Nothobranchius furzeri: one gene and its partners. The main gene of each other region encodes a partner of the protein of the gene in region 3 in a complex. Links are inferred from orthologs where the notes say so. Each region holds a gene or a part of one and is shown on either strand. Other genes may lie near its edges.

Region 1 (7,953 bases), about 3.5 Mb from region 3:
CAGAGACGATCTGAATAAATAAATATAAAATGCAGATTTTGAATAATAACTTTATTAATCAAACAGGTGATCCACACCAGCCTGGCTACATGTGAAATAGTAACTGACCCCTAAACCTAAAAACACTTTTGGAGGCAGGCGTAATCGAGCACATGTTATAACCGGTAATGAGTCTCTCACAACGCCACAGACGAGGTTTGGGCCATTTCCACCATCAGAACTTCCAGGTCATTTTACTGGACCTTTACGGCATGTGTCTCCATTTCCTCGGACCAGCTCAAAGGACCAGATCCTGGGACCTTACAGGGACCTAACGAGTACCTGAACTCAGGTGTGTATTCAGAAATGACTTGCTTCTATAGAACACGCCATGGCGTATTTCTGTTAGAGACCGTTTAGCCTCCTTCATGTAGCCAAATGATAAATGACCCCCACTTGTACAGTGCCTTTCAGAGTCAGAGGACTCCAAAGTGCTTTACACTACAGTGTATCATTCACACACACACACACACACACACACACACACACACACACACACACACACACACACACACACACACACACACACACACACACACACACACTGATGGTGATGAGCTACATCATAGCCACAGCTGCTCTGGGGCGCACTGACAGAGGTGAGGCTGCCCGGCACAGGCGCCACTGGTCCCTCCGACCATCACCAGCAGGCTAGGTGTGTTAAGTGTCTTGCCCAAGGACACAACAGCATTCTCTGCCAGGAGCGGGGATTGCTCCCACAACCCTCTGATTACTAGACAACCACTCTATCTCCTGACCTACTGTGACCCCAAGAAGGTTCTAATGAAGTGATCTCTAATCTTGTAGTAATGAAGTCTGAGTGCGGCTCTGGACTCCAAATCATGTGATTAATGACAGTTAATTCACCATTTAACATGGGGCATTTACATTTTCACATGCTGGATTAAATATATTTTGTTCTAATAAATAAAATCATCCTTATTAAACTGCATTTAACATTGACTCAGTTATCTCTGATTTTGAATGCATTTGCTGACCTGCAACTTGTAAATAACAAAATTTTTTAAAAGAAATCTCAACATGAGGCAAATATTTCTACAGCAATCTGCCCATTTTTTTAGCTCAGACATTAAAATATCACCCTGCCAAGAACGAGCGGGTGATTATTAAACTTCCAGCAACATTTGGCACAAACTCCTGGTTAGTTTGCTTAAGGCAAATGGAAAAATAAGTGATTAGTGTAGTTTTTAAACGCTGCTCTAGTCTTGTTGACCACTCGAGAGCATTCTGGGATTTCTACACTGACTTGTGTGTCCCTGACACACACACACACACATATATGAATCATCATAAACAGCTAGTTACCGACTGAGGAAAGCCAGTGTGACTGGTTAGGAAGTTGCTCCACTTTCTGCCCCACAGAGACTAAATTATTCCAGACAGGTAATTAACAGGATTTCGGCTAAAATACTGTCATAACAACAAATAAACAACCAATTGGCAGGATGATACAGGAGACTGTGCGATTTCTACAGGAAACGGTGTTCACGTCAGATTATCTCTCAGCATATTTTACATAATCCTTGTTTTTTCATATGCAGTTCTCCTGCAGCATCACCAATGTGTAAAATCATACCAGGCCTGTTGTTTTTAAACAGAGCCTCCAAAAACCTCCAAACTAAAAACAACACTAAACACCTGACTGAATCCAAGATTAAATCAGACGTTGTCAAACAGCCGTAAATGTACTTAAATTAAAATCGATGATTATTACACGATGCAGATGGGGAAAAAACACATCTGTACACTTATCTGTAATAATTACGACAGAAAGTGTTGTTAGTCCTGATGGGAATATAAGGAAAGTCCAAATTAGATATGATGCAAACCGCTACTCAGCTGCCATCCTAAGCCAATTAAAGTGGCCATAATATTTCTGGCTCGAACCGGTCAGTGGAACGTTATGACACACACTTGAGCTGGAAACAAAACAGAAATAAACCAGCTTTAAAATGATTTTAGTGGAAAATAATGGCGATAACAGTGTTTTATCCCCTTCTGCAGATATGGGAGTTTTTTTTTATTACATTCAAACCGGCTTAAATCAGGCGCGCGCGAGGTAAAAAAAAATTAGCCCATTTTAGGACAAACTTGTTTTATCTTCCGTTCTTAATGCTAGATTATGAGAGGTTTAAACGCCGTGCGGTGCGGGCAGAAGCAGGTACACACAGGTGTGGTATCGGCACAGGAGCTCCGTCTCAGGCGCTCCAGCTAGCATTAGCCGGTGGTTAGCCACGCTGCCAATAATAAACAGTCAACTCCTCCGGAGCTTCCAGCTAGCACTCAAGCAGCAACGACAATTTCACCCCGTGAAAAATGTCACACATCACCACGGTCAAACTCATACCTGATTCACGTTTCCCTCAGACAACATTACTGGGTACGGCAGTTCCCGGTGACATCTGTGCTGCTTTTTCTCTGCACTTTTTCGTCCAAGCAACCCACCAAAAACACTCACGCAAGTGAGCCCGTCAGGTCCTAGTTCCCTTGCCGTTGCAAGTTTGCGCATGCGTCGTTTTACTCAGTGACAATAGTGAGGGGAGATGTGGTCTTTACGTAAACAAGTTGTTTACGTTATTTTATTCCAACAATTTAGCAAGTTTCCTGAGTTTAGCACAAAACCAGTTTGCATCAAGAAGGATGAGTTCATATTGAACATAAAACACGCGGAAATAGATTTTCACATTAAAATGTTCAAACTGATAAATTAGCAAATATTAGCTCATAAAGTTCGAATTAAACAATATTAAGAAAAAGCAACATAGCTGAAATGAGCTAATGTTTTTCCGCTGCACCTCAAAATTACCTCGGACAGGTGATGTTTGTAAATGAGAATATTATCAAACACTATCTGGAAAAAATAAAGGTTGAAAAAAATGATGCAATTTTTCATTAAAAACACAACATTTTAACACTCACTGGGTATTTTGAGTACATGGATCAAAATAACAAGTGTGCTTTGAGGGTGTTAATTATTTTACTGTTCATTTTGTCTTTTCAGTTAGTCCAAGATGTTACTGAAACCAAAACATGACATTCAACAGTCACTGACTGAGTGTTTTGTGAATAGTCAAGATTCATTTAGCACAAACAAAAATACCTCTGGGAAACTGTCTGCAGCTCATAAATTACACACCATGACTGAATAGTAAACACCTTATATTTCAAATTCTAGTTTATATTCACAATAAATGTTATTTCTACTCAAATTTTCTTATATGTCGTCGTCCCCCCCAAAATAAAACTGGCATACAAATAGAGGTTATAGGAGCTAACATAGTATTATTTTACTGCAGACAATGTCAAGTATACCTTACTTGTTTAAATGTATGCAATAAAGGAGAATTAGCCATCAAATCCTGAATTCAAACAGTATTCAAGAAAATTCATCAAACATTTTTAAGCATAAAAAATGACAATAACCTCTACTAAAATCTAAAGACCTCATGTAATCGATCCAAACCAGCAAGTCCAACACACCAAGTGTCCTTTCAAAATCCATGTTGCCATCTTCAGCTCTTCATCCATCCATGCCTCCTCACTCCACTCTTTCCAGCTCCCTCACAGGACTGGCCTGGGCTGCTGGGTGAGCAGAATGCCAAAGCGTTTCTTCAGCTGCACTCGGTGTCTGGAAAACTTGTCATCCGGAGAGAAACGAGCCGGATGGGCAGAGCTGGTGGGCTGCCCATCAGGAGATGCCTTCTGTTGGAGGCAAAGATGAAGGGAAATATGTGTGCATTAGGGAAGAACACTGATTTGAAAAATAAAGGCATATGTCAGCTTTTTTTTTTTACATTTCACCAACGAAATAAGATACGTGGATGAAATTAAGTGTAACACCTAAATTCACCTTTTAGAATATGATGGCTATTATGGTATACAATAAAATAAACCCTCACTAACATATGTTTGATTCATTTTCTTGTAACACTACTCTGATTTACAGTAATAACCTATTCAGTTGCAAGTACAATCAGCTTTTAAAACATGTAAAGAGTTTTTTATTTCATGCGTAAAAACTAAATTTTACGCATTTTTCACTAAACTATGTTACGTTTCGGTTATTGACGTATTAATTTAAACTGTTACGTTTCGGTTATTGACGTATTAAAAGCAAAGGATTTTTATATGGTATAAATCAGAAGCTAAAATCAAATGTGTTTGTCCAAAAACACACAAAGGCGATCTGGGATATAACTATTTGTGTTTATACTGGTTCGCTACAAGCTTTCCACGTTAGCCACTAATTGCAACTGTCCATGTTCGCCGCTATTTTGCTGGCTGCACATGGAAAGCACTTTGAATTGCCTGGTATGAAGTAGCCTTTATAAATAAAGCGGCATTGCCATGCTTTGTTAGCTCAGCTGCTATCCATGTTAGATACTAGTTGCTATCAATGTTAGCTACATGTGAGGCTAACGTGAAAACAACACGAATAACACATCTTGAGATTTTTTTGGTTTGACTTGCTCCTTTATGTTTTAATAGAAGCCACGTGATGTTACTTTTCGTTTTCCAACAAAATAAATTTAAATGTAATGAGCTAAAACGTGAAACTGATAGGAGAGAAGACATGTTACGAACAACACACACAAATTACCTTCAGAGTATATACTCTGTCTCCAGACTCGTTAAGATAAAACTGCAAAAACATGACGAAAAGTCTTGATATGAAGCTTTATAAGTTTTAAAAAATCCAACTTTATTTTAGGAAGCTAGAAAACGTGGATCCACGTGCAACGAACTTTCTAGTCGGATATCCGGTTTAATGATCAGGCCGCTTGGAATCATGGGGAACTGAGTTTACTCGCAAATTAGGCTCTTTTGAATATCACACACTAATAAAAGTGCATTTTCAGAACTTTTATGCTTTATTCTAACCACCTCTCAACGTTTTACAGACCCACCAGCATCTATAACAACTCTTTGAAGAATCTTGAATTATATGAGATGATTATTATTATAACAATATTTATTAGATTGTTATAATTATTGTTTCTGAATATCGATTTACAACATTTAATTTTCTTCCGAGAACAAATAAAGTATTTTGGCCCTTAGCTGAATCAGTAACAGAGTAACTTTTACTGGTCCAATTTCAAAACAAAACACAATGTGTTTTTAACCAAAACAACCAAACACATTCTTGAACATCTGCATGAAAATTCTGCTGTGCTATAAAACAAATAAAATATAAAAACTATTTAAAGAACAAGTCACCCCCAAATAAACTTTTTTTGCTGATAAACTAAATAAACGAGTGTCTAATCGTGCTGCAGACATGTGCCGTCAATAATTTGGCACTTCAGTGCATCTTAGTTAAAATTTAGATATTCTGCCTAAAACTGTCAGTGTTGTGCCGTTGTCAGGTAAAAATTCTGCACTGTATTCTAATTTAAATCTGCCACCGCTATTGGCTAAGAGGTATGCTATGATGTAAACTGGTACGTTATGATGTCACAATGCCTGTGTGTTTGTGTATTTGTTAGCAGCTCCGCCCTCTCGGTCTGCCAGGCAACAGCATTTGTTGCATTTTTCAAACATGAAGTGGGAGTGGAGTTAGAATCTGGTACGGGTTGACTTGCTCTTTAAATCCAGTTCTTCCAGAATTATGAAATCCAAAAGCTCACATTCAAAATTAAACAATAATGATGTTTACTTTCAAACAGACATAAAGTTGGAATCTGTTTTTGCAGCATTCACCATAAACTACTCATGTCAAACGAGAAAGGTAAGTCCATGAAAATTCATTCATTAAATTATTACCGGTACATCTTTTTCCACTGAGAACACTTATTTTTCTTCATTAAGCCTATCTAGTGAAACAAATATGTTCAAATTGCTGTTTTAAATTAATATAAGAACCAATTAAAGAACCAAGTCAGAGGAGATATTTGCAACCTTAGCCGAGTGTGCGGTGTTACAAAGTACTTGTTGCTTCAGTCTTGTTGTCTTTGTTTATTTTTTTCTGGTACTTAAAAGCAGCCTCCTAAGTCTGAGAGAGGGTTGGTTCTGCACAGGTTTTCATGCCAAAACCTTCCTTCACATGTGTTTCCTTTTAAAATGTCCCCTGAAAACACAGATAGGAACAGAAAACCTCACAGCAGACTCTAACTTTATGTTGGGAGTCATTTACATGCTGAGAAGTTGTCTGAGGTAACTTCCATCTTTTGTCCAACAGTTTCAGCATCTCCACAATGAATCTCGAGGAGTGTTCCCTCCCTGATTTCATCTCAGATGATTCTGGAGGAAGTTCTTCACAGAACGAGCCGAGACCCACAAGGCCGGCAGACCCTGTTCCACAAACAAGTCGTGAAAGCTCCCAGTCTCTGACTGCAGCAGAGCTGCACAGATGGATGGGTGTACCTGATCAACTGCATCGTTCAGCCAGTTGTAGGAACCCAGATCCAAGCCTGATCCCCAGCTGTTTGGTGTCTCCACTGAACCTGATGGTGTTACCACCTTGTTCTTGGGTCCAGAATAACTCTACACTGATCACTTGCAGTCCCTTTGCTCCTCAGCCCTCCCAAAGGCCCACTAGGAGCTTCATCTCCCACGCACCTCCCTTTAGACCTCCTCTGTGTATGCTGGTTCCCTCCAGCAGCCCACAGGGGTTCTGTTGGAGTGGCATTGGTCTCCTCCCTGCTTTCATCCAACCTATGAGCTGGTGCCTAACCCAGGTTCCTGTCCAGCAGACCCACAACTCAGCTCTGTGAGTCTAGAGGCATCATCTTGCACCCAACTGTAAAATCAGAGTCTAACTGAACATTTATGACTCCAGGATTCAAAACAGACTGCTGGATAAAACGGTGACGCCGCCATCAGTGTTGGACAAGAGTCTGGTTGGAACTCAAGGTCAGCCGTCAGTAATTTATGTAGAAAAGTATAAATAATTACAATAATAAGGTTTTATGGTCAAGTTGTGGCCGTGCGTCCTTCCCCTCACAGATGGACAGCAGAAAGCGCCTAACAAGAATGAAGAACTACAAAACCTCAAAAAGTACCTCAAAGTTCCTCCAGGACCTTCGTCCTCTTGGGAGAAAAACCTCGAGTTTGAACCCTGTGAGGACTGCATGGTTGCCCTGAAGTCCCTCTGTTCTGAGGTTGAAAATGCTTTTGTTTTCAAGTGTATGTACATGTGTGTGTGTGTGTGTGTGTGTGTGTGTGTGTGTGTGTGTTCATGTATATGTACGATATTGTGTGATCCTAAAAGTCAAACAATATTCGTAGTTTTTAGACTGAAGGTTGTAAAATCTGCTGCCACCTAGCAGTTGGAGTTTGAATTGCACTAACTAAAACACAAAAAGTAAACGTTTGAGTAAAAATTCTCAACAAAAAAATCGACATGTTTCTTCTAATTATCGATTCCGTGTCATAACACAAGATATCGCGATATTTCAGAGTATCGATATTTTCTTACATCCCTAATTCCTCTAGATAACACGTAGTAATCTGTAAACATGTGTGATCCCCTTTTAATAAGTATTTGTCGTGTAAACCTCAGGCCACAGAAGACACGGGAGAAGACCAGAGACACGAGACTGAAACAGCAGAAAACACCTTGTGTCTGCAGTACCTGGATGACTTAGGTCATCACGAGGACTTAGTCCAAACTGTGGGTTTAATTCTTTATCTCAAAATGACATCAGTCCTCAACAGGATAGGTTGCCTTCATTTGTAAAAGGCTGCTTATTTTTACAACTGTTGGTGTGTTTTCTTCAGCTGGAGTGGAGCCTGGATCCTGACTTCCTGAACTCCATCCTGTCTTCAGCCCTGGAGCAGCAGCAGGAGGTAACAGAAGCTTTAGACAAGATCTCACAGGACCATGTTAGAGTAGGGCTGCCCTTATGAATGGCTTATAGATATAATACACATTTAACACTTAATAAATGT
Region 2 (8,193 bases), on a different chromosome or scaffold from region 3:
CCTTTGCGCACAATTAAGTGGCGAGTTGAAAAACATAACGGATTCTGTCATGGCTACAAGTAACTTTATCAGATCAACATCTGGTCTCCAACACGGACTGTTTCGCAAACTTCTTGTTAATGTCAGCTGAGCATGCTGACCTACTTTTGCATATCAGTGTGAGGTGGTGAAGCCAGGGAAATGCACTCATGAGAGTCTGAACTGAGGAAAGAAATCATTACTTTTCTTCGTGAATGCAAGCAGAGGAAGGCTGAAACATTTCTGACCAACATGCTGGATGATAAATTTGTGTCTGAGATGTGTTTTTATGTGATATTTTTCATCATTTGAGTGTACTTAACCTGGGACTTCAAGGGAGAGATGAAACAGTTGCTGATGTGGTTGAAAGACTGACTGCTTTTCAAAATAAACTAGACATGTTTTCATCCGATCTCAGTAGCAGACTGCTGCATTTTCCAACCCTCAGTGGCTTCATGAAGTCATCACAATGTGGTAAAGTCACAAAGGTCGTGTCAGACTTTCTGGACCGTTTGAAACACAACTTTGCTCAGAGATTCTGACTTTGACATTCCCAAAGAGTTGCTGCATGTCGCGAGGAACCCATTCACCAGCACGCCCAATACTTCCCCCAAAACAGCGGCGTTCCTGGAGTTACATGGCACTGATGAAGGTCCCCTGCGACTTGAAATGACTGAAATACTAGGGCTGGGGGTAAACGATTATTTTTAAAACGATTATTCTGGCGATTATTTTATCGAATAGTCGACTATTCTAATGACTATTTAGACAATTAATCTAATGATTATTTTTCTATTGCACAATTAACAAAAACCAGAAAATCTCAAATAAATTCCTCAAAAAAATTGATAAATTCTTACTGTAAGAGAATAAACACTACAGGCCTTCCATTTTGTATAACACTGCTTTTATTGTGTTGGTTGGTTATGTTCTGGTGACGTGTAGATCTTGGGAGTGCAGGCTGCTGCCTGAGAGGTGGTAGAAGATGGAGTGTCTCCATGCTGCTTTGTTTTGGTCACTTTTGTGCGGGAGGCGAGTGGTCTTACGACTCTTCCTGGGGAGTTTAGCTCGTGTGCAAAAAGGAAGGGACAATAACGGGATTTAAAAGTTAAAATGATGATCAGGTTTATTTACAACTGCAAAAAAACCATAAATCTTTCCATCCACAGGTTGGGAATAATAAAACTAATTCTGCCTGTGGGGAATTAAAACAAAGTACAAATAAGTAGGGATCCAAACTCTAAACTGGGCGGTTAAACCAAACTCAGGTGATATTTTACACTAAACCGAAAACCCTACACAACACTCTAAATGTAATAAAAGGGAGATCTACACCTCAAAAAAGATTAACTCTAAACCAAAACGTAACAGCTTATCCCAACGCAAGAAGCTGTTAGCGAAGATGCTAACAGTAGCTTTACCAACGTTAAGTTCAAGTTACCAAGTTTAAATAAACCAAAAACACCCAGCAGCAAACAGACCAGCACGGAGGAGAGACTGCTACCACCAAAACAGCTCTCCTCATGTCTGAAAGAAGCTCCTTAATGAAGGGAGAAGCACTCCCGGTGATGTTCTACATCTGCGATAGACACGAAGCAGCGCGTCTGACCCCGGAAGTTGTTGTCCGTTGCCGGGAGACGAGGGCGGGCAAAACAGGAAAGGAACCTAGTAGTGGACGGACATTGTTCCGGGTCTTCGGTATTTGGCGGAGATGTTAGTGAAGGCGGAGAAGAGGGCGAACTAGAGGAAAAACAGGCAGATTCCTCCTCTATTTACAAACTCCTGGGGATGCAACAAGTGGGCGCGGTGCGTCGACTACCGGATCTGACGTCGACAAATTTTTAGAATCGAGCCGTCGACGTCGTCGAGGCTTCGCTACAGCCCTATGAAATACAGGCATCAGGGGAATTCAAAGATGTCCTTCAGGAAAAAGGCTGCGCCAAGCTTTGTCCCAGAGATGTTCCCAAACATGGAAAAACTGGCCATATGTGTCTTAACAATGTTTGGGTCAACACGCGAATCAGCCTTCTCTCACATGAACGCCATAAAAACAGAGAATCGAATGTCCTTGACAAAGGAGCATCTGCATCATTGTTTGCGGATCGCCGTCACCCCACACGAGCCTAACTTTTCTCATCTTGCCCAGTCAAGTGTCATTTTTCTCATTAGAGATCGATCAGTCTCCGGCAGTATGAGGACCAAACACACTATTGTTTCCTTTGATGTGCTTTAAAAGCCAGCAGTTTAATTTTGTTATTTTATTCAAAATGTAGATTGTTCTTATTTGCACAATTGCTCTTACCGTTTTAGTTTATGACTGTGATATTTCCACAAAAAATATGTTAGGTACTGCTACTGGGATTTCAGTCAAACTAAACCGTAGGGCTGTAGCGAAGCCTCGACGACGTCGACGGCTCGATTCTAAAAATTTGTCGACGTCAGATCCGGTAGTCGACGCACCGCGCCCACTTGTTGCATCCCCAGGAGTTTGTAAATAGAGGAGGAATCTGTCTGTTTTTCCTCTAGTTCGCCCTCTTCTCCGCCTTCACTAACATCTCCGCCAAATACCGAAGACCCGGAACAACGTCCGTCCACTACTAGATTCCTTTCCTGTTTTGCCCCTTCGTCTCCCGGCAACGGACAACAACTTCCGGGGTCAGACGCGCTGCTTCGTGTCTATCGCAGATGTAGAACATCACCGGGAGCGTTTCTCCCTTCATTAAGGAGCTTCTTTCAGACATGAGGAGAGCTGTTTTGGTGGTAACGGTCTCTCCTCCATGCTGGTCTGTTTGCTGCTGGGTGTTTTTGGTTTATTTAAACTTGGTAACTTGAACTTAACGTTGGTAAAGCTACTGTTAGCATCTTCGCTAACAGCTTCTTGCGTTGGGATAAGCTGTTACGTTTTGGTTTAGAGTTCATCTTTTTTTGTGGTGCAGATCTCCCTTTTATTACATTTAGAGTGTTGTGGGTTTTCGGTTTAGTGTAAAATATCACCTGAGTTTGGTTTAACCCGTAAGACCACTCGCCTCACGCACATAAGTGACCAAAACAAAGCAGCATGGAGACACTCCATCTTCTACCACCTCTCAGGCAGCAGCCTGCACTCCCAAGTTCTACACGTCACCAGAACATAACCAACCAACACAATAAAAGCATGGAAGGCCTGTAGTGTTTATTCTCTTACAGTAAGAATTTATCAATTTTTTTGAGGAATTTATTTGAGATTTTCTGGTTTTTGTTAATTGTGCAATAGAAAAATAATCATTAGATTAATTTTCTAAATAGTCATTAGAATAGTCGACTATTCGATAAAATAATCATCAGAATAATCGTTTTAAAAATAATCGTTTACCCCCAGCCCTACTAAACCGGTTGTTTTCTACGCTTTACTAAGCACAGAGCAAGTGCTGTCACTATGAGTTGTTGACTCAGACTTTTCTTTCATTTATATGCTTTAAAAGCCAGTAGTTTAATTTTGTGATTTAATTGAAAGTTTTGTTTGTTCTTATTTGCATAAAAGACATTGTAATTATCGTTACTGTGTTCTTTATGTGACCGTGATTTCAGTCAAACTACAGCTGGTTATGTTTTCTTGGCTTTATTTTAAGCGAAAACAAGTACTGTAACTGAGTTTGTGACTCGGAGTTCTGTTAAAACCAGAGTTGGCTATGTTTTGCAGTTTCTATTATTTTCACTAAAAACCAGCAGTTAATCCTAATGTCATTTGACTTGTTTCAATAAAACTGTTGAAAATGCAGCGGCACTTTGTTTTAATAGGTAAATATGAGATACGGGGAAATGTACGGCCCGCTGGCAAAAGCCTCATGATAATTTGGCCCAACAAAAAATCTAACCGAGTAGCCCTGCGTTAAAAGCTGTACTCTGGCCCCATGCATGCGCGGGTTTCCTCCGGGTACTCCGGTTTCCCCCACAGATCACAACACGCCCTATAGGTTATAAATTGTAAGTCGCTTTGGATAAAAGCGTCTGCCAAATAAATAAACATAAACATACTTGTGACAAACGGGCAACTTTAAGGTCACGTGACCACCACTACTGCTCAGCAAAAACTACGTCCTCGAGACTGTAAACACCCAGACCCTGGAGCAGAACATGATAACAACATATAAATGATGAAAACTCAGCAACAGAGCTGAGGCGGACTTTCGGCATTGCCATGGAAACCTGTAAACACTCCAGCTATCCAGCTTTGATCAAACAGCTGGTGGCATGTTTTAGTTCTGATGTCTTTGTAGTCCTCGTAAATCTTCCTCTATCCAGATGAAGGACGAGGCTCTGTACCTTCTTCCATTCTCATTTATCTAGTATCGATTAACAGGGTCTGCCTGTGGGCCTTGCTTTAAATAGAGATGATTCCACTCGAGCATCGTTGGTGGTACGGAAGCATGGATTCATTATAGCGCTGACGTTCTGAGCTCACTACGTGGAACCCCCTCCCCCCGGTGTAGATGGACCAGATATGCACACGGCCCTGATTTAGATCAAAACCGTTGGATCATATATACACATATATCATATATAATAATAGTACTAGTAATAGTAGTAATAATAATAGTAATAATAACGTTTAACACAATCAGAATCTAAAAACCACGACACCAGCCCTTTACCTCATAGAATGTGTGTTTTACTTGAAGTCAAGGGTTAAAACTGACGTGTGAGAAATCTGAAATCCTGACAACACCTGCTGACCTTTGACCCCAGCTCCACTCACTCACCGTTTTAGAGGGCACGTAGGCGTACGGCAGGCTCCTGTCCTCACACATGATGGGCAGGTGACAGTACACGTCGATGGGCAGCGTGTCGCCCGCCAGGACCACGATGCTGCAGAGACCAGACCGGGTTCAGGTGAGCACAGGTGAGGTTCTAACGCGCGGATGACTACGGTGTCCTGAATGGTTCAATGCGCTAAAACTGAATAATGTTCACATTTAAATACATAAAAAAAAAATTAGTGCGGAACTTCTTCTGAGGGACAGAAAACAGTGACGGACCGGACCACTACAGTAATGGGGACTGAGGTTCTGGACGGACCCGGGCACCGTGAAGCTAACTCACCCTTTCTCTCCTTTCTTGATGAACTTCTGAACTTCTTTCACGCCCCTCCGGATGTTCTTCACCTTAGCAGCTGAAATCAAAACACCGGGTAAAGAAGCGGGACACAAGCACCGGTCTAACGGGTCTCGGTGGTCTTTTACCCTTTTTCACGCACTTGTAGAGCTTCTTGCTGAGCTTCCTGGAGGCCAGCGGCTGAGAGATCGGGTTCAGGTGGGAGACCAGCTCCTGGTAGGTCCTCTCGGAACCACCGGCCGATGCGACCGAATCATTTGGATCCGCGTTTTCCTTCTTCGTCTTCGTCATCTCTGATAATCAATAACCGATTGTTGCTTTCTGCTTTCACCCAGCACGCACGTGTTTTAACTCTTGTCCCGGACTAACAGGACCATTGGACCACAGCGCCCCCGGCGGCCAGGAGCGGAAATGTCGGCAAAGTCTACAGAGGGCCTGTAGACGCGCGCGCGCGTGTGTGTGCGTGTGCGTGTGTGTGTGTGTGTGTGTGTGTGTGTAGAAGAAGAAAGTATCATTTCTATAGCGCCTCTCAGGATGAAAATCACGAGGCGCTTCACAAAAAAAAGTGTAAAACATAAAAAAATAATTTAGAAAATGGTTAAAATATGTTTAAAATGAGCAAAAAATAGACAATTGTGATTAAAAAAATGTAAAGAAAGAGAGAGAGAGTGAATAGATAGGGAAAGATCCTGAGGAAGGTGGAATAGGTGGGGAGAGCAGAATAAAGAGAGTGGTGAAGAAGGTCACACAAAAGCCAGCCTGAACAAGGGCAACACCTCTGAAGATAAGAGTCAAGAGGTGCTTCACAAGAACAAAACTAAAACATGATTAAAAACACATAATAAATTGTGAAAATGGAAAATTTAACATAAAAATGAGAGGGAAGAAAGAAAACGAGTAAGAAGAGGTAGCAGCACCTGAACAGGTGAGCGTTCAGCTGCATTTTAAAGGAGACCACTGGATGTAAAACAGCTGGTGGTCTGTTTTAGTTCTGACATCTTTGTAGTCCTCAGAGACACAAATGTATGATTATTGCTCCGTCTGGGAGAAGAACGATGCTCTGTCCTCTTCTTCCATACTCATTTATCTGCAGTGATGTGACATTCACGAGCAAATCAAATCTTTTGGTTTTCAAAGTGAACAATGAGAGCCGAGTCTCTGTAGAGAGCCGTTCATCTTGTCTTCCAGTACCAAGCCTCCCCGGAGGTCGGCAAAGCGCACCCGCTCAACCCCCACCCAGCCCGTGACGGACGTGGACAGAACGCTACCCATCCCAACCACCGTGCGCCCTCACATAAAAACCTTTTCTTTGATCTCACTTCTGATTTAGTGGAATGTGTGTGAGAAAAATGTTACGAAGCATTTTAAAGATGCAACAAATTCCACACAGCAATAATTATTATCTGTAAAATGTTGCTAGTTAACTCATTAAAGAGCAAGTCACCCCCTACCAGAGGCTTACTCCACTCCCACTTCCTGTTTGAAAAGTGCAACAAATGCTGTTGCCTGGCAGAGTGAGAGGGTGGAGCCACTAACAAACACACAAACACACAGGCTCACAACAGCATTGTGACATCATATAGTACCAGCTTATGTCATAGTGTACCTCAGTGTGTCCCAACCCTGGTCCTCAGGGACAACTGTCCTGGATGTTGTCCATGTCTCTGCTTCAGCACACCTGATTTACATCGGCTCTTCAGAAGGACATCAAGTGCTGCAGATGCCCGTTAATCACTGCTTCATTTAAAGGCCCCTTGTGTGAAATTCACAGAAATCATAGTAAAAAGATCCGACTCTTTAGCACCACGCAGTTTAGAGTCGGTATTGCAGCTATTGGAGCCCCCGAGGATCAAAAAGGTTTTTTTAATCATTATTTAAAACTTTATTAACAAATATAACAAATACAATACAAAATCGTGTTGCTGTAAACGGCAGCATGTCATCATCTAATTCCAGCTTTCAAGTCAGCGAACAGGTTAGTTGTTTTCATCTAACTTATTTTATTAATTTAATCTAAATAGGTTTTGAATAAGAAAAACTTTTTTATGTCAGTTATGTTTGCTAATAGCAAACGGCAGCTAGTTAGTGATGACTTCAGACTACAAAAAATGACAATATTTTGTTCATTTTATTTGAGAAATGTTATATTTCTATTTGCCATTTTGGAAATATACAAGGTAGTGTAGTCTGTAATTGTTTTCTCTCCGTAAACAGAGTCAGACATCATCCGATGGTTCATCAGTGGAGACAGACAGAGGACGAGGGAGAGGAAGAGGGCGAGGACAGACGTGTGCCAGCGCACAGAGAGGCAGAGGTGTTAGACATGCGACAGAAGCAGGGCAAGCATCCCAAGATGAAGGAGCCGAATTTGCTCAAACCAGCCGCAACGTCCCACGCACAAGAGGAAGAGGCAGAGCTGCAATAAAGTCTAGAAGATCGGCGCTTTCAAGCGCTTTCAAACTATCCCGTTTCTCAAGTTTGCTTGTAGAATATGTGTGATCCTCCATCGCTAGAAGTACGGTGTGGCTAGTTTCTTCTTCTTCTTAGTTACTTTGTCAGACTGCAAGCTTACAAGGCGCACTTCTGCCCCCTGCTGTTTCTTTGAGGTTACATCATTTAAAAACGCAAACATCAAATGCGAAGCTTAATATGTTGTATGTCCCTAAAAGGTCACTGTATTTTAAGATGGCGCATGCCATATGGAGCACCGGTCTGCTTCTTTTGTCTAAAATATTAAAATATAAAGCTAATAATAATGCTTAGAATAAATGCTTGTTTGAATTATCATTAAAAAAAACAAATTTGAGAATGTGATACAAGAAATTTGATAACTTATAAGATGAAATATCACACATTGGGCCTTTAAGTCAGGTGTGTGGCAGCAGAGACACACTGGTGTGTGAAAGGACAACATGGAGAACATGCAGGACAGTGGTCCCTGAGGACCAAGTTTGGGAAACACTGGACCTCTTAGACAACAGCGATGGCAGATTTAAAGTTAAAGTCCCAAAGTCATCATCACACACTGGTGAAATTCATCTCCACACGTGACCCGTCCCCATGGAGAGGAGCAGTGAGCTGTAG
Region 3 (8,276 bases):
CAAAAATACTGATGTAAAAGGAACTTGTTGAATTGAAACTATTCATTGTTTTTTTTTAATTGAAAATCTCTTTCTTGGGATGAATTTAAAAAGTGATGTTTGTTATATCTCTCCTTTAGAGATAGGGCGAGAAGCTCGGTCATCCGGGAGGGGCTCGGAGTAGACCCGCTGCTCCTTGCGCCTTGGGATTCCCCCGGAGGAGCTGGACTAAATGGCTGGGAAGAGGGAGGTCTAGGCCTCTTGACTTAGGCTACTGCCCCTGCGACCCGACTCCGGATAATCATAAGAAAATGGATGGACGGATGGATGAATGTTTGTTTTTTTTACTTGGTTAAATCCAATTTTTCCAACCCGATTCCGATCCATTAAAAAACGTGCTCGGAAATCAGGTCCAATCACATGATCGGATCGGAACATGCCTAATAATCAGATAAGCTAAGTTGCTCATAGGTAACTCACAGAGAAGCACATTATGGAAATCTGCTTCCTTAAACGCACCACAGTCAGAACTCGACTGGTCAAACTGGAGACCAGTTAGAAACGTCTTTAATACAATCACAGAACCAAGAGTCCAGAGTTTTTTGGTGTTTTATGTGGAGTTAATGATCCATTTAAGGTTTCGTATTATTGGATCTTTTCCCCTAAATAACCATCAGCTGACACGTCATAAATCATTTTCTGGGCAGGAAAAGCTGATGATTTACATCCCGTCCTTGCCAGGAAACCAAATCCTTAAAAGAGATGAAGGGTTGTAAATTTTTCAAGCAGCAGTTTAAAGACAACATAACAGATTTTTAATAAGAGTAAAACCCAAAAGGGCTGGTAGAGAAATACGTTTTCCACCCTTATAATACAGGATCTGAAGTCTCTGGGATGGAAGAAAATGGATTACATGTCAATTATTCCTGCTCAGCGATCCTAAACTACCAAAGCACAGCCTCCGTGTTTCTACTGAGATGTAAGAACTGCTTTCTGCCACACATTTCCTCAAGGGTTTGACCAATCTTAGCCCTCGACAGCTGCTGCTCTCCATGTGTTAGATGCGACTTTGCTCCAGCACACCTGATGTAAAACAGCAGGTGTTCAACAGGCTTCTGCAGAAGTTAAAGCTCTCTACCCAGAAACCCAGCTCACCATCTCAGGGAGGAGGTCCCAGCTGTAGCTGTAGATCTCTGGCGGGAGGTTGTAAACACGGAGGACGTTGTCTGCGCTGTTCGTTAGGATACAGGAGCCATCAGGAGCCCTGATGATGGAAGAGGAGGGGGGGATGACACAAGCAGAGAACAAAGCTCAGGGATAATGCAGCTACAACCAAAATAAACCCGATTTTATACAAATATGAACTTTTACTCGTGTGATTTAGTAATTAAACACCAGTGAGGTTACCATTTGCAGCCTTTGAGGTAATTCTCTGGAAAGTTGGAGTACTCGTTCCAGGAGCCCGTCAGCATGGTGGGGTTCTGGGTGAAGTCCAAACCCAGGCTGGAAGCAGAACAGAGACGAGAGCGAGCAGAAACTGAGTGGAACGAATGATCCAGGGGAAAGTCATCCGTTCAGCTGGAAACCAGTACTCGCACTTTGTTTGATTTTCTGTTACTCATGAAAAAAAGAGCTGCATCTTGTAGAAAACAACCGCTTTAACAAATGCCCTTTCAAAATAAGAGCATTTAGAAACAGAAATACATTAAACAATAATAAACATGTGTTACTAAAGTTTGTTTTATTTAGTCAAAAAATGTACTTCTCATCTCCAACATTTTTATTTGATTATATATGTTTGCCTGTATTTTTTATTTGCTCTGTGATGTTTTTGACTCAACTTTTTATGGCTTTGTTCACAAACGTACTACAAATCTTCACTGCGGCCTAATGGGTGCGCTACAACTAAGCAGGTTAAAACAGGGTATCTGCAGGTTTAAGGGAGCCAAATTTAAGACTTTTTAAGACCTTTTTAAACTTTGACCAAATTTAAGCAATTTTTTTAAAATTAAATTTAAGCTATAATTTCCAGCTATTGTCTGGAACCAGTGCTAACCACGTTGTAAACGTGGGATTACCCACCCAGTTACCATTAAACTTGCACTTCCCCGTGGCACAAACTCCCACTAGCTTAACCAGCTAATGTGCTCATCCAAAAATGGCCCCCTTTCACAACCAACTGAATGTGTACGGTTCCGCTTACGCCAACATCATACACAAAAAATGCTGAAGACTAACTAGAAATTCCTGTTCATTGGGTCTTTGGTAATTTAAGACCTTTGGAAACTGTATTTAAGGATTATTTGTCATTTTTAAGGATTTTTAAGGCCTTAAATGTAGAAAAGCAAATTTAAGACTTTTTAAGGACCTGCAGATACCCTGTTAAAAACAAAAACACTAACTTCAAAATTCTGCTTAAAAACACATTTTTATTAGATTTGCTTAAAAAAATAACATAATTCTGAAATATTTTCTTGAACGACCAATTTAATTATTTCTCTCAGACATTTTGTGAGCTTTTTCCAGTCAAATGTTTTTATCTAACCTTTTGGGGTCTGCTGTAGGGCCCTGCAGCTATCGAATATTTTTGTAATCGAGTACTCTATCGAATATTTTATCGATTAATCGAGTACTCTAATAAATTACCCTTTTGCGTTTGTAAACCATTATATCAAACAGCATGTTATAAAATATGAAAGACCTCTTAAAATGAGCCCGCAATTGCCAGTTATTCTTCAAGTTTTATTCAAATTTAGTTTTCAAAACTTCAGCACTTCAACTGTAAACAAATGAGAGCGGCTGCGGCCCAAACAGAACCAGAACCGCTCACGGCGCATGCGCAAACATGGCTCGCCAGCTGTTTCCCTATTAACACCCGTCCGTTTTAATTTCTACACTTTTTTGTCTCACACAATAACAAGGATTGTCGAAAGCATGTTTGCCGTTGTTATGTCAAATTATACTGTTCACAAAACATTTATTTACTTTCTTTCGTTTTCCTCCGCCACTCATAAATACCCGTGTCCTCCTGCAGCAATCCTGAGGGACAACGGACATCAATAACAACACAATAAAAAGTCCGACGTGTTGTAAAAACTGCTATTTTTAGCACATTTTAAGACCGACGTGTTGCTACCAGACGCACGGTGTGAGCTGAAACTGAGTGCTACAAACGAAAAAGTCACAGTGTCTGCAGAATATATAGAAATACAGGCTAAAATGCATTATCTTGTAGAGGCTCCGAGTCCGCTTGCAGAAGTGACATTTACATGTGGATGTTTCCTGGTCAGGTGCTGCAGCATCGAGGATGTGGTGTTGTGGTAGGCTAAATCCATTTTACAGTTTTTAAACTAGAGTACGTTTTCCGCCTTACGACGTGAAAAATGGTCCCACACCTTTGACATTTTCTGTCTTTTTCGCACTCCACCGGGGTCCACGTTGTTCGCCATGGCTTAAAAGAAAGTTCAGTAGCGTCCGCTACTCGCGTGTGCATTCAGTGCAGTATGTATGTGCGTCACTTATTTCGGTCTGGGTGAAACATGACCCCGGGCGATTGCAAAGCCATGAATTAATTAAACATGAATGAAACGAAGCCTCGAGGCAGAGAATTTGACTCGAGGATTTTTGTACTCCAATTATTCGAGGTACTCGAGGAATCGTTTCAGCCCTAGTCTGCTGTATCGTTACCCTCGCTTTAAGAAAACAGAAAAATAAAACATTATTTGAACTCACTGCTGTCCTGCAGCAGGGCTGCCTACAGATTCATTCTCGTTGAGCGCCTCCTCCTCTTCTGGTTTTGTCTCAGTTTCCTCTGCATCATCAGGAGCTTTGGCTCCATTCAGATGACCTGCTGCCACGTCTTCCTCAGCCCCCTCTTCCTCCTCACACCTTTGTTCTATTGTTGCTTTAAACAGAACAGAAGAAACTATATAAATGATATATGTAAGTTTCAACTCTAATGTGTATAACTTCATATGAACAGGACTTTACTTTGTGCAGATGCAGCAGGGTTTTCTAACACACCACCTTGTGATGGGACCGCATCTTGTCCCAGCTCCTCCTCACTCCTCCTGGACCGTTTGGCAGAAGGTGGGAACCCCTCCTCTGAAGTCTCTCCGACTTCTACAGACTCACAACGTCTCAGTGAGGCCTGTGGAGGGGGCTCGCTGTCTGCTTCAGAGTCTGCACCCGCCAGGCCTCCACCCTCCCCACCTCCGGCTGAGTCAGACATGGCTGTGTCTCTGTCCTCCTCTGTCTGGTGTCTTTTTGTCCTGCTGGGAGAGTGCTGTCAGACGTGGGTGAGGTAGGTGCTACTAGGATAGTGCTTCTTCCTGCAGTGTGGACGATTGAGTCTGTCGGGGTTTGATGACATCACCCACCTGAGATAAACAGGTAACAGGATTGTGATTCCAGACCAGATTCTAGAAAACTGACCATTTCAAAATAAGAGCGTGAGAAAGGCTATTTTTTATACAATTATTTTAACTTTAAAAGACCAGCTAACATTTTAGAAACGTAATCTGTTACTATAGCAAAATGCATGGAAAGGTCGGGTTGAACGTATGTGAAGTTTGTGACGACTACAACTACTTAAATTTTAAGTTTTAACTTTTATACAAAGTTTCATCATTAGTGCACCTTAATTATAATAATTATAAAATTAAAGAGGCATAAACACGGATGTTCCAACACCTGTAGCTACTTTAACGAGCCTTCGTGTTCATTTTTAGCAAACCCGACAACTTGTTACAACAGCCGTCGTCTATTTAACTTCAAGTCCACAACATTCATGTAAATAAAGTAAAAACACCTTTGAGTCACGTTTTGGACCACTAACAGAGACCGCTACACTGTGTTTGCTCAGGTTAGCATTGACCGAGCTAACGGGTTGTTGCTACCTACCTGCGTTGTGCTTCGCCTGAGCGTTGATGCTTCGCTGTTTTCCACTCAGCGGTTTTTAATTTTAGACGAAAACAAATTCTACAAAACTAGACGAGGTCTCAGAGGTAGATAACTTAGTTGTCAGTTCAGCAGCTCATTGCGAGAAGTTGTAAACACCGTAGGCGGCCATGTGTCCTAAAGTATCGCGAGACTTCCGTTTTAGAACGTTGCTAGAGCAGGTTACATAATTAGTGGACTTCCTAAAGGAGAATGAATCATGTTTAGACTATATTCGCTTAAGAAAACGCTCAATTTAGTTGTTTTACGGATGTTAGGAACACCTAATGTGAATGTGATACGTTTTAATAAACTAAATGACATTCAAAAAATAAAATAAACAAGACAAAAAATCTGACTTTTTCCTCTAACATTTTTTTTCATACATTTTGATATGCAAATATTTCGCAAGAATTAAATCTTTAAATAAACAGTTCTGACAGATAAATGTGGTTTATTTAGTATTTATTTTGTTCTTCAAACATGAGTCAAACTATTTACACAGCTCTGTTGTTCTTCTCTGAAACAGTTTCATCAAATATAAAGTATGCTGTTATATCCAACAACAATTACAGACTTGTTAGAGAGGAGCTGAGCTGACCGGAGTAAAATTATCATCAAACCATTCTGCAAATTCATATCCACCCGTGCACCAATCAGTGAGTTGTGTTTGAACCAGAAACTAGTGAACGTGATAATAAAAGCCTTTGTAGTGCAGTAAAATAGAAAAGCAGACTGAGCAATGATTAAGCTCACATATTCAGCTTAAAAACAGGGGTTTGTAGGCAAATTAGACTTTATTGCATAGTTAAAAGCTTGTCCAAGATTTGTTTATAATCTCAAAGTGTCGCGGCGTACCAAAGTCTTGCTGGGATGAGTTTGACCTCCATGGGCATTTATTAGAAGGTTAATAGGTGGTAGAAACAGCCAATTGTGTGGCTATAAATGTCACAAAAACCTAATACGTGACCAAAAAACCCTTTTTTTAAAATGTAATTTGACAAACATAGTTCAGGCTTACACAATGGACTGGTTAACTCCTATTCAGTGCTATTGAAGATGTTCACCACCCAATTAATCTGTCAAAATTCATGTGATTAATATATAAAGCTTGTCCTTATAGGACAATATATGCATCTCTTACCAAATCTTCTGGAGTGTTAAACAAAAAGGAAACTTATTTACCCCAACTGCCTTTTTAACTAGGATCCTAATTAGACACCAATTTGCCCCGATCAGCTCAGCTCCACTGCACAGACTCCAGCTCTTTTTGAGCCTGCACCATCAAAAATCACCTAAATCTGAACAAATTCACTCTCCATTTTAGTGAAAACAAAAGCCTACCACCAGCAAAAAGATTTAAAAAAAAAAGAAAGTCAACACTTCCTGCTCTGTGTGTGTAGAACTAAAGGTGAGTGGATGGATGAGGTTTATGCATCGCAGCTCTTTAAGCCAACAGAAAACAGTTAACAAGGTGGTTTCCAACTAACACTCATTGTTGAGAACATTTTCAGTTAGCCATTCGAGACTTAACTATACAAAATAAGGCATGTTGAACAAACAAATAAAGCCAAAACCCTCTATGAGAAGAAACAAAAGGTATAGTACACTATTTACAAAGCTCATCGTGTATATTGATGAGTTGATGTGTGTGTGTGTAGATGGTTCTAGAGGAGCCACTGGAACGTTAGCTGTAAGTGTGCATGTAGTCTGTTTGCAACTCCTTTGGACTTGAGAATTTCTGCGTTGTGTAACCTGTCATGTGTTTGAGTCTTTTTTTTTGTACAAAACTTATTTTTTGGATTCCATCCAGTTCCACCGCTGTAGGAGTTTCCACCAGCCCAGACCTACAGCAACTCCTCTACATTATTTTGTCTTTGATTTCTAGGCAGGAGGGTGGGTTTTAGAAGACCTCTACGCAACCATCCAGGAGCTTCGGGCAGAGATGAGCTATGATCACCATGGCAACGCGTGCCTATTTGTCCTCTTCCTCACTGGAGAGCATCTAATCAAATCCAGAGCTCCAGACTTCCAACGCAGATGGGACTGATGGTTGGTATCCGACCGATGACAGCCTGCTCAGTCCGAGGCCAAGACCAGAGTCTTTGGGAGGTTTAAAGGGCAGCTTTACTCAAACTGACTCACGGATCGGCTGTAGATTAAATCCTCCTCGCAGAGGGCAGCAAATAAAGCAAAGCCGAGCTCCTGATGGAAGACAGAGAGAAAAAAGAAACAGCGCAAGTTTAAACGAGAATGTATCAACGTTAGGACTTGGTTTTAATGACATGAGGTAGAGGAGTAGTGCTTTTAGGGTCCATTAGTTTTAGGGGAGTGGTGACTAATCCTGGTACTCTGAGGCCACCACGCAACATGTTTTAGTCGTTTCTCTGCTCCAAGACACCTGAATTAAGCAGTAAGTTGAACACTTTGTATCAAGAATTGACATCGGAATAACAAACTCATTTATTCATAACCAGTAGCTTAGATTACTGCAATGGCCTCTTCAGAGGCCTCCCAAAGTACACAGTTCCAGCTCCCAACATGCTGCTCTTAAAGGAACAAAGAAATCATACCAGAATCACACTGCTTGTATTAAAAAAACTTAATAGCTTGGCACCACAATGCATAAGAGACATGTTAGTCTGCAACACACCAGTCAGACCACCAAGGTCTGCAGACCATGGAAACCTGGTTATGCATTGTACAACAGTGATTTCCAACTCCCTTCCCTGAGGACCAGTTTGATGAGCTTCTGAACAGGTGATTCAACCACTGAACCGCGCATGTTGGAGCGGGAAAAACACTTAAAAGATTCTGAACAAGGGCCCTCAAAGACCAGGGTTGGAGACCACTTTTGTGGGAGACAATTGAAACAATATCCTCTTCTGCTTATTTGGGTTTGGGCCTGAGCAGAGAGGCCCAGACTTCCCTTCCCTGAGCCACTTGGGCCAGCTCCAGAGAAATCCCAAGGCCTTGCCTGGCCAGCCAAGAAACAAGGTCTCACATTGTGTCCTGGGTCTTCCTTTGGGTCTCCTCCCAGTTGGGGGGTGGCCGGGAGGCATCCTAACCAGATGCCCAAGCCACCTCAAATGTTTCCTCTTGTAATGGAGGAACAGCGGATCTACTCCGAGCGCCTCTCGGATGACTGAGCTTCTCACTCTCTAAAAGAGAGCGCAGACACCCAGCAGAACAAACTAATTTCAGCTGCTTGTATCTGCGATCATGTTCTTTTGGTCACTATCCAAAGTTCGTGACCATAGATGAGGGTGCTGCCTCGATTAGTCGATTCGTCACGATGTTGACAAACAAAAAAGGTCAATACATTTAATAGCTGATCTCGTTTATTATATGAAGCATGT

The links.
Region 1: wrap53 (region 3) and nop10 share a complex: the UniProt entries of both Homo sapiens proteins name them as parts of the telomerase holoenzyme complex. The link is inferred for Nothobranchius furzeri from reciprocal best matches to the Homo sapiens genes WRAP53 and NOP10.
Region 2: wrap53 (region 3) and nhp2 share a complex: the UniProt entries of both Homo sapiens proteins name them as parts of the telomerase holoenzyme complex. The link is inferred for Nothobranchius furzeri from reciprocal best matches to the Homo sapiens genes WRAP53 and NHP2.

Annotation. Positions count from the first base shown.
Region 1 is NC_091742.1:80,332,536-80,340,488, reverse strand, and holds nop10 (H/ACA ribonucleoprotein complex subunit 3), read right to left. Parts: upstream 4,843-7,953; 5' UTR 4,715-4,842; coding exon 4,661-4,714; intron 3,763-4,660; coding exon 3,622-3,762; 3' UTR 3,019-3,621; downstream 1-3,018. Other genes in the region: uncharacterized protein, read left to right, coding at 6,258-6,772, 6,842-6,915, 7,009-7,163, 7,565-7,675, 7,783-7,851. UniProt on the Homo sapiens protein: Required for ribosome biogenesis and telomere maintenance. Part of the H/ACA small nucleolar ribonucleoprotein (H/ACA snoRNP) complex, which catalyzes pseudouridylation of rRNA.
Region 2 is NC_091750.1:25,733,238-25,741,430, reverse strand, and holds the start of nhp2 (H/ACA ribonucleoprotein complex subunit 2-like protein), read right to left. Parts: upstream 5,514-8,193; 5' UTR 5,401-5,513; coding exon 5,238-5,400; intron 5,168-5,237; coding exon 5,098-5,167; intron 4,898-5,097; exon of another isoform or gene 4,864-4,897; coding exon 4,758-4,863; intron 1-4,757. UniProt on the Homo sapiens protein: Required for ribosome biogenesis and telomere maintenance. Part of the H/ACA small nucleolar ribonucleoprotein (H/ACA snoRNP) complex, which catalyzes pseudouridylation of rRNA.
Region 3 is NC_091742.1:83,815,540-83,823,815, forward strand, and holds the start of wrap53 (telomerase Cajal body protein 1), read right to left. Parts: upstream 5,094-8,276; 5' UTR 4,882-5,093; intron 4,359-4,881; exon of another isoform or gene 4,251-4,358; 5' UTR 4,211-4,250; coding exon 3,970-4,210; intron 3,884-3,969; coding exon 3,712-3,883; intron 1,483-3,711; coding exon 1,387-1,482; intron 1,244-1,386; coding exon 1,135-1,243; intron 1-1,134. UniProt on the Homo sapiens protein: RNA chaperone that plays a key role in telomere maintenance and RNA localization to Cajal bodies. Specifically recognizes and binds the Cajal body box (CAB box) present in both small Cajal body RNAs (scaRNAs) and telomerase RNA template component (TERC).